Cricetulus griseus: one gene and its partner. The protein of the gene in region 2 binds, or shares a complex with, the protein of the main gene of each other region. Links are inferred from orthologs where the notes say so. Each region holds a gene or a part of one and is shown on either strand. Other genes may lie near its edges.

Region 1 (3,747 bases), on a different chromosome or scaffold from region 2:
CTCTGTACAAACATGGAGCTGGAGCTGTGGGGGAGAACATCCTTGGGTTTAAACTTGAGGATGGGTTCCTCAGTGGAGTCTGGGTCTCCGATCCCTAGGATGTCTGAGGTGCTCAACTCAGGCTAGACTGCCTATCTCTAAGGCAGGTTTCCACTAGGCCTAGGGGACAGAGGATCTGTGAGGCCCTGGGTGGTAAAGACTGAATGGTGAATTCCTAAAGCAGGGTGCCCCTTTGCTTTGGCAGAGGGGGATCTCTCTGTCCACTCCCTACCCCCACCTCATACATTGCCAGTACAACCCAGAAGAGAACTGGAATTGCAATGTAACAGACACCAAGGTACAGGCCAGCTTTCATGTACCTGTGCTAGGGTGAGGGCTTAGAGGATAAGGCACCTCAAAACCTCATTCCTGAAGGGTCCCCAGCTCTGAGAGGCCATCAGGGGGCCCATCCTGATGCTTAGGGTGGCTTTGAGATAAACTGGGGCTGGTTGAAGTGGGATACTACTCTAAGGAAATGACTTTAGTTGGACAGACAGGGTGGGGACAAGCTACTCTGAGGAGCTGTGGGCCTGGTGTGGACCCTCCTGGGGACTAGAAAGAAGGTTGGTACTCGATGGCTAAGGCTTGATTGGCCACCCCACCCCACCATGTCCTTTGGCCACAAGGAGAATCTGCTTTCTGAGAATTGGTTACTTGGTCAAGAGGCTGGCTGTGGGCTGGGACCAAAGCTCTAAACTCCTAGACTATGCATTACTGAGTTAGCAAAGCTGTGTCTAAGTGTAGAAGGACTTGGTACCATTCCCTACCTGCCCTCCTCTTCAGAGCTGTTGTTTTCTTTTCTCTCCTCTTGTTGCTTGGTTTGGTTTCTGCATCTCTGCAACGGCTGGTAGTGGGGTGTCTACCTGCCTTGACACTCTCTGATGCTGCTCTACACAGAAGGTTCTAGAGCAGCCAAAGTGTTCCAGCAACCTGAGGGAGCCTTGGAGCCCCGACTCCATCTTTAGTGCCTGATGTGTGCAGGGATTAAGGTGGGTGTCTTCTATCACAGGATCTTCTCTGAAGCAGGTCATGGCACAGTGGTGGCAGATACTCTTGGGATTGTGGACAGTCATGTCCACTGTGACAGGAGACAAGCCAGTCAACATCTGCATGAATGCCAAGCACCACAAGCGAGAGCCTGGCCCAGAAGACAAGCTCTTCTTGGAGGTACAGGGACCAGAGCTGGCCCAGGGGCTAAGGTAGCTTCTTAGAATTATTAGAGAAGGATACAGGCAAGGAGGCCCCTGGACCCCATCAGCCCTGATCATTTAGTTCCTTAGTTTGGGTTTCTTCATCCAGGATTTGGCCCCTTAGCTGATCTGGCCACCTGGGAAACAGGCTATGTGGTGATCTCGGAGGCCCTGTTGGCTAATCATGGGTCAGTGCAAGCCTTCCTGACAACATGCACTGGCTAGACATAGGACTCAATTTGATTCCTTCTCAGTCTGCTAAAGGCAATTACAGAGCTATGGGAGGAGGAACATTTCAACTCTAAGTTGCTCCTACCCATCATCATAACCTCGGACTCCTGAAGCTCCCTGGGACTTCTTTCTATTTGCTTTCCTGGATTTATTGCCTCCCTGGAGCTGACATCAGGAAACTATGTTCTGTGGCAGAAAGACAAAGGGGAGGGGACCAGGGGTCAGGTGTTTCCCATTCTTCAGATACATGTTGACAGACACCAAGGTCCCTCCTCTACAGAGGTGCTCAATGTGTCCTCTCTTCTGACACCCTTCTGCCCAAGATCCTCAACCCTAGCCTCTTTCTCCCTCCACCTTCAGTGCGTCCCCTGGAAGGACAATGCCTGCTGCACATTCACCACGAGCTGGGAAGCCCACCTGGATGAGCTCCTGTTCTTTAACTTCAGCATGTTGCACTGTGGACTGCTGACCCCGGTCTGTCATAAGCACTTCATCCAGGCCGTCTGCCTTCACGAGTGTTCCCCTAACCTGGGGCCTTGGATCCAGCTGGTGAGGAGACAGGAGGCAAATCCCTGCAACAGCCTTCCATTAATCAAAGGCTGGCATCTCCAGGAGGCCAGCAGGAATAGGGAGATGGCTGTCCCTCTAGGGATAAGAGCAGAGCCAGAGCCCTGGGAAAGGATGAAGAGGGAGCTAGCTGCCTCTGTCCCTGAAGGACAGCATGGGGACACTGTCTGATGCGGGCGGCAGGATGAAGGGTGGAATGAGGTGCATCTGAGTGAATTCCATCTCCTACTTACAAACTGTGTAGCCCGGGACAAATAGCCACTCACTTCATAGTTCTCATTTATCTAATAGTAATAATAATAATAATAATAACAACAACAACAACCTACGGCTGGGAAATGGCTCAGTCATTAAGCACTTGCCACACAAGCATGAGCACCCGAGGTATGGAGGTGAACTGTTATAATCTCAGCCCTAGGGAGCAGAGACAGATGGATTCCTGGGGCTTGCTAGCCAGCCAGCCTACCCTGCTCAGTGAGCTCTGGGCCAGTGAGAAACTCTCTCTAAACCAACATGGATGGTGCCTGAATAACAACACTTGAGGTTGTCCTCCAGCCTACACACGCACATTCACTTACAGAATGTACACACGTGCACACACACAGAAAGAATAGTACTCAGGGACCTTTATAAAGGATTGGGTATCTTCCTCTCTCTCATCTGCACCCAGGTGGTCCCAAACAGGCAGGAAGAGCAGGTTCAGGGCGTGCCCCTGTGCCTGGAGGATTGTGAGGAATGGTGGGAAGATTGCCGCTCATCCTACACTTGCAAATCCAACTGGCATAGCAGCTTCCACTCCAGTCAAGGTGAGTGCACTGACTGGGTTCTCGGGGGCTGTTTACCTGGGTGAGGACACAAACCTTCTTATGTCCCCCCACAATGATGGGGGCATGGAAGGGATGGGACAATGGGAAATGAGGACACCATCGTCGACCCCCACAGAGAAGAACCACTGCCCAGCACAGGCGCCCTGCCGCCCTTTCCCAGATTACTTCCCCACCCCCAGTGATCTGTGTGAGAAGATTTGGAGCAACACATTCAAGGCCAGCCCTGAACACAGGAATAGTGGACGGTGTCTACAGAAGTGGTTTGAGCCCACTCAGGGCAACCCCAATGTGGAAGTGGCCCTCCACTTTGCCAACTCTGCCTCAGCCTGGAAGCTTTCTTACACCCTTACATCCTTCTCTCTGTATCTGCTGCTCCATTCCTGAGGGTCCCTCTCCCACCCACATTCCCTGATTCTTCTGAGCCATGGCCATTTCCATCCTCAGGCTATTCAGGGTGGGAGCAGGCTGGTGCCAGAACTTCCCATGCCACCCAGGGTCCCCTCTACTGCTTGACCCTGCCTCCACTAGCCTGGTACCCAACTGGTACCTAGCAGTCTAAGGTGACTTGTTATTCCTGCCATTAGGAATGGGCATTACTATAGGACTCCAGGCACTTGTTATCATGTGATACCCATCTTTTTTGTGTAACAGAGACAATGTTGAGAGCCAAGATACCTGCCCTATCATGGTACCTTCAATAAAATGATAGGGAAACTCTCCTCTCCATGTGCCGCTCTGTTCTAGTCCTATGGGTACCAACCTAAGACATATAAAGAGGGAGCTGATTTGTCCTCATTAAGATTTTAATTTCATTGACTACTAATGAGGATGAGAATTTTCAATATTAATTGGCCATTTGGAATGTGGCTGTCTCACACTGTGTGTGTATGTGT
Region 2 (3,747 bases):
TCTACTGGGGACATTCATGACTCATGGATACTGTACATACTCAGATCTGGCAACCCTTGCTGCTAGGTTTGTGGTCCATTTTCCCTTAGTACCTGTCTCTGGAAACTTCGGTATTGGCCACCAGACCTATCTTGTGTTTTGTTTTATTTTGAGACAGTCTCTGTAGCCCAGGCTGGCCTAGAAAGCACTATGTAGACCAGGCTGGCTGGGAATTCGTGGCTTTCTTCCCGCTTCAGCCTCTCAAGCGCCAGGACTACACGTGTGGGTACCATGCTTGGATCCAGGCCTCTCCTCATAAGAGAAGAGTATCACTGTTTAGCTACCTTTCCCATGCTGTGGGACTGGTCATAGGGAAAGAGCGAAGCTCCAGTGCCTTCTGGGAGTTGTAGTCCCATTTAAGAGTAGCCACTTACCGCATCTTCTTATCTGATGCCAAGGTTTCTAGCCAGCCAGAGGGCGTCCGGCCGAAACTTGGGGGCGCGGGGGGGCAATGAACAGAACAGGTTAGCGACTTCCATTCCGTAGGTGCTGGGAAAGTTCTACGAAAGGGATGCCACCCTGTGACGTCACGGAGGGACGGGCGGGGCCTGCTTTGTTGCAGTCCAATCAAGCTTAGAGTTGGATTCTGGGCGGGGCCAAAGACAGTCCTAAGAAATATTTCTAAGGGAATTAGGAATTAGGGTCCCCCATGTGGGATGTGGCCCAAGTGTTTTGTGAAGAGGGGGCGACCGGTTACTCTCGGAGCCAGTAGAAAAACCCTAAATTCTTCTCCCCAGTCTTCCAAGGAAAACTTAATCTTAGTCGTGAGAAAGTATCTGGGCGAAGCATTAGTGCTTGAGGGCACGAAGTTGAAGAGCGGCTGTTAAAGAGGTATTGGGGGCCTGAGAGGAGAGTGTCCTGAAAGTTAGGGAGAGTGGACAGGTACTCCAGAAACCGGGGGATGGCTTTGGAGGCATGTTGAAGTTTTTGTAGGACCTTCAGGTTAAAGGATTTAGGATATTTTTTATTCTGAAGACCTTTTTAGTTTGATAGTTTGCAAGTTGGCTATTTATTAGACAAATTATTTACTTATTTAATTAATTAATTGGTTTGGAGACAGTGTCTCAAATAGACCACGGTGGTCTTGACTTCCTCGGTGCCAATGCCCCGGCTTTTGATGGTTTATCTAGTTTTGACTATTGACTATCTAGTTTGCTGTGCCACGGGGTTTTCAGGACTTGAGCATCTGAATGTTGACCCAGGTTCAGAGTTATGAATTATATGAGTTTGGGGGAGTTGGGGGGTGAGCCCATGCGTTTGAAGTTTGAATGCAGAGAGCTTGGGGATGGTTTAATAGTTGCAGGAATGCAACGAAGACCATAAATTTTGAAGTCTCCTGGGCTGGGGTAGGGGGTCCGAATTCACATTCTGCGTCTTTAATTAATGATACCTCCTTTTTACTTGGAAATTTCCCAGAGACCTTCGTGTTGAGCTTTGGAGTGCTCTAAGACTGTTTTTTGGCTTCTGTTTAGCGTCCCCCCGCCCTCGTTTTGGGGTGAGAGGATCCTCTGGCGGTGCTGGCGAGCTGTGCGCTCTGGCCTCCATGGGGCCGCGTTTTACACTCTTGTTGGCCGCTCTGGCCGACTGCCTGTGTCTGGCGAGGCCCTGCATCATATGTGACCCGTTTGTAGTGGCTGCGCTAAAGACTTTGGAGCAGAGTTACCTGCCTGGCCACCTGGCACCCGAGCATCATCAAAACGTAATGAAGAGGGTAGAGCAGGCGGTGAAGGACTTCAAGGATCTGCCTTTGAATAAGGATACCTATGTGGGGGCCGTGGGTAAGGAGGGCAGGCCAGGATGAAGACCTCAGGGTCCTGGGAGAGGAAGGGCTGGGGCCAGAAGTGCTACTGAGTTTAAGAATGGAAATGTCGCTGGGCCTTAGTGGTCCATGCTCTTGCGTAGTGCATCTCTGTGAGTTTGAGGCCAGCCTGGTCTACATAGTGAGACCCTGTCTCGAAAAGGAAGAAGAAGAAAAAAGGAATGGAAAAGTCTTGGGATACAGAATCATGGAGTTCCCTCCTTATAGCTCACAATATTGGTTCTAGCAAGTTGTGTGGTAAAACTACAACTCCCATAAGGCAATGAGCGGTTACCTCTTACACCAGGCCTCTCTTTGCCCAATGGCCTCATGGGTATTGTAGTTTCTATGTGGTGACAAGCCAATGCGACAGAAAAGCTGGACTCTGGGGTTCTGTATCTGCCCTCCACACACAGATGAGGACACACTGGAACAGGCATCTTGGAGTTTTCTGAAGGATCTGAAACGTATCACGGACAGTGATGTAAAAGGTAAATGTACCACAGGATGAGGGCAGAACCTCTGAGGAACCGTGGCTGGTTTCTTAAAGCTTCAAGCCTCTGCTTGAGAGCCTTTCTGGTTCTGCCATTTCCTAGCCATGTGGCCTTGAGCCTAAGGCTGGGCAGCTTCCTCAGCCCTAATATGGAGACCACAATCGTCTCCCTTTCTCCGTGACTGTGAGGATCTGTTTCGTAGCCCTATGGCCCAGCTCTGTGTTCAGTGCTTAGTCTTATAGTTTTCCCCTGAAGGGCTAGAGTGTGGAATGCCAGTGAAGACACGTGGGGCATCCCTGTACTTAAAGCTACTCAAGAGGCTGAAGCAGGAGGATTGCTTAAACCCAGAGTTCCAGAATAGCTTGGGCAACGTAGTGCCATCCTGCCAAGCAAATAAGAAAGAGTGGTGGAGCTGGTGGTGGCGGCACACACCTTTAATCCCAGCACTGGGGAGGCAGAGGCTGTTAGATCTGAGTTTGAGGCCAGCATGGTCTACACAGCAAGTTCTAGGACAGTGGGGAATACATGGTGAGACTCGGAGAGGAGAGATAACTAAGAGGCAGATGTTGGGTATGCCGGTGCATGCTTGAAGGTGGAGACAGAAAGATCAGATGTTCAAGGTCGCTCTCAGCTACATGGTGAATCTGAGGCCACTTGGAGTAGAATCTGTGACATATGGGATGCTTTACTGCACCTCACAGTGAGTTTGGGGAGCACCATTCCTGGCTCTGCTTCTTCCTAGGAGAGCTCTTTGTAAAGGAATTATTCTGGATGCTCCGTCTGCAAAAGGACATCTTTGCCACCCTTGCTACGCGGTTCCAAAAAGAAGGTGAGGAAGATGAAAGTCCAGGGCCCAGCCATCAGCTTCCTTAACCCTCTCTTCCATCCATGTCCTCAAGAACACCTTCTCCAGGTCCTTTGCCTATGTGTCTAAAAGCTCCTAAATCTCAGATCTCTGCTCCGCATCCACTCCCATTAATTTAGAAGGAAATATCCTCTAGAGCTTGGTAGCAAAACCTGTAATGCCAGCACTTGGGAGGCTGAGATGGGTGGATTGCCAGATTTGTGGCAACCTTGGGCTACGTGCTGAGATGCTGACTGATAGAACGTTTAATCACAGGACTTGATGGGTAGTAGCAAGAGATGAAATGTCCAAGGTCATCCTCATTGATGTAAAGTTTGAGACCAGCCTGGGTTATACCAGACTCCTTTCTGAAAACAAAAACAAATGTGATTTTCTTTCTCTTTCCCTCCCCCCTTTCCCCCTTCGGAGGCAGTTTTTTGTCCCAACCAATGTGGTGAGTCCAGTATGCATAATCTGTTTCTCTTGCCCCCACAAGCCTCCCCCCAGGATTGGTGATTGTTACTCTCCTCCATTTGCGCTATCCCTGGCCCTCCAGTACTCGATATCCATCT

Evidence for each region.
Region 1: the proteins of Izumo1 (region 2) and Izumo1r are in contact, whole or in part, in a crystal structure (PDB 5JKC), measured with the Homo sapiens proteins. The link is inferred for Cricetulus griseus from reciprocal best matches to the Homo sapiens genes IZUMO1 and IZUMO1R. Residues at the interface, in NP_872381.2 of Homo sapiens: Met75, Val77, Tyr134, Val141, Leu146, Trp148, Lys150, Asn151, Lys153, Glu155, Val156, His157, Ala158, Arg160, Lys161, Ser162, Tyr163, Asn239, Ser240, Ser241, Pro242, Ile245; in NP_001186135.1 of Homo sapiens: Lys42, Tyr44, Glu45, Ile48, Leu58, Trp62, His65, Leu66, Asp67, Gly80, Leu81, Leu82, Met83, Pro84, Gly85, Arg87, Ile91, Met145, Ser146, Tyr147, Gln171.

What each region holds. Positions count from the first base shown.
Region 1 is NC_048597.1:128,422,475-128,426,221, reverse strand, and holds Izumo1r (sperm-egg fusion protein Juno), read left to right. Parts: upstream 1-1,068; coding exon 1,069-1,206; intron 1,207-1,820; coding exon 1,821-2,075; intron 2,076-2,697; coding exon 2,698-2,833; intron 2,834-2,969; coding exon 2,970-3,238; 3' UTR 3,239-3,453; downstream 3,454-3,747. UniProt on the Homo sapiens protein: Receptor for IZUMO1 present at the cell surface of oocytes (oolemma), which is essential for species-specific gamete recognition and fertilization.
Region 2 is NC_048599.1:154,523,679-154,527,425, forward strand, and holds the start of Izumo1 (izumo sperm-egg fusion protein 1), read left to right. Parts: upstream 1-1,522; 5' UTR 1,523-1,582; coding exon 1,583-1,817; intron 1,818-2,172; exon of another isoform or gene 2,173-2,201; coding exon of another isoform or gene 2,202-2,253; coding exon 2,254-2,328; intron 2,329-3,073; coding exon 3,074-3,160; intron 3,161-3,608; coding exon 3,609-3,629; intron 3,630-3,747. UniProt on the Homo sapiens protein: Essential sperm cell-surface protein required for fertilization by acting as a ligand for IZUMO1R/JUNO receptor on egg.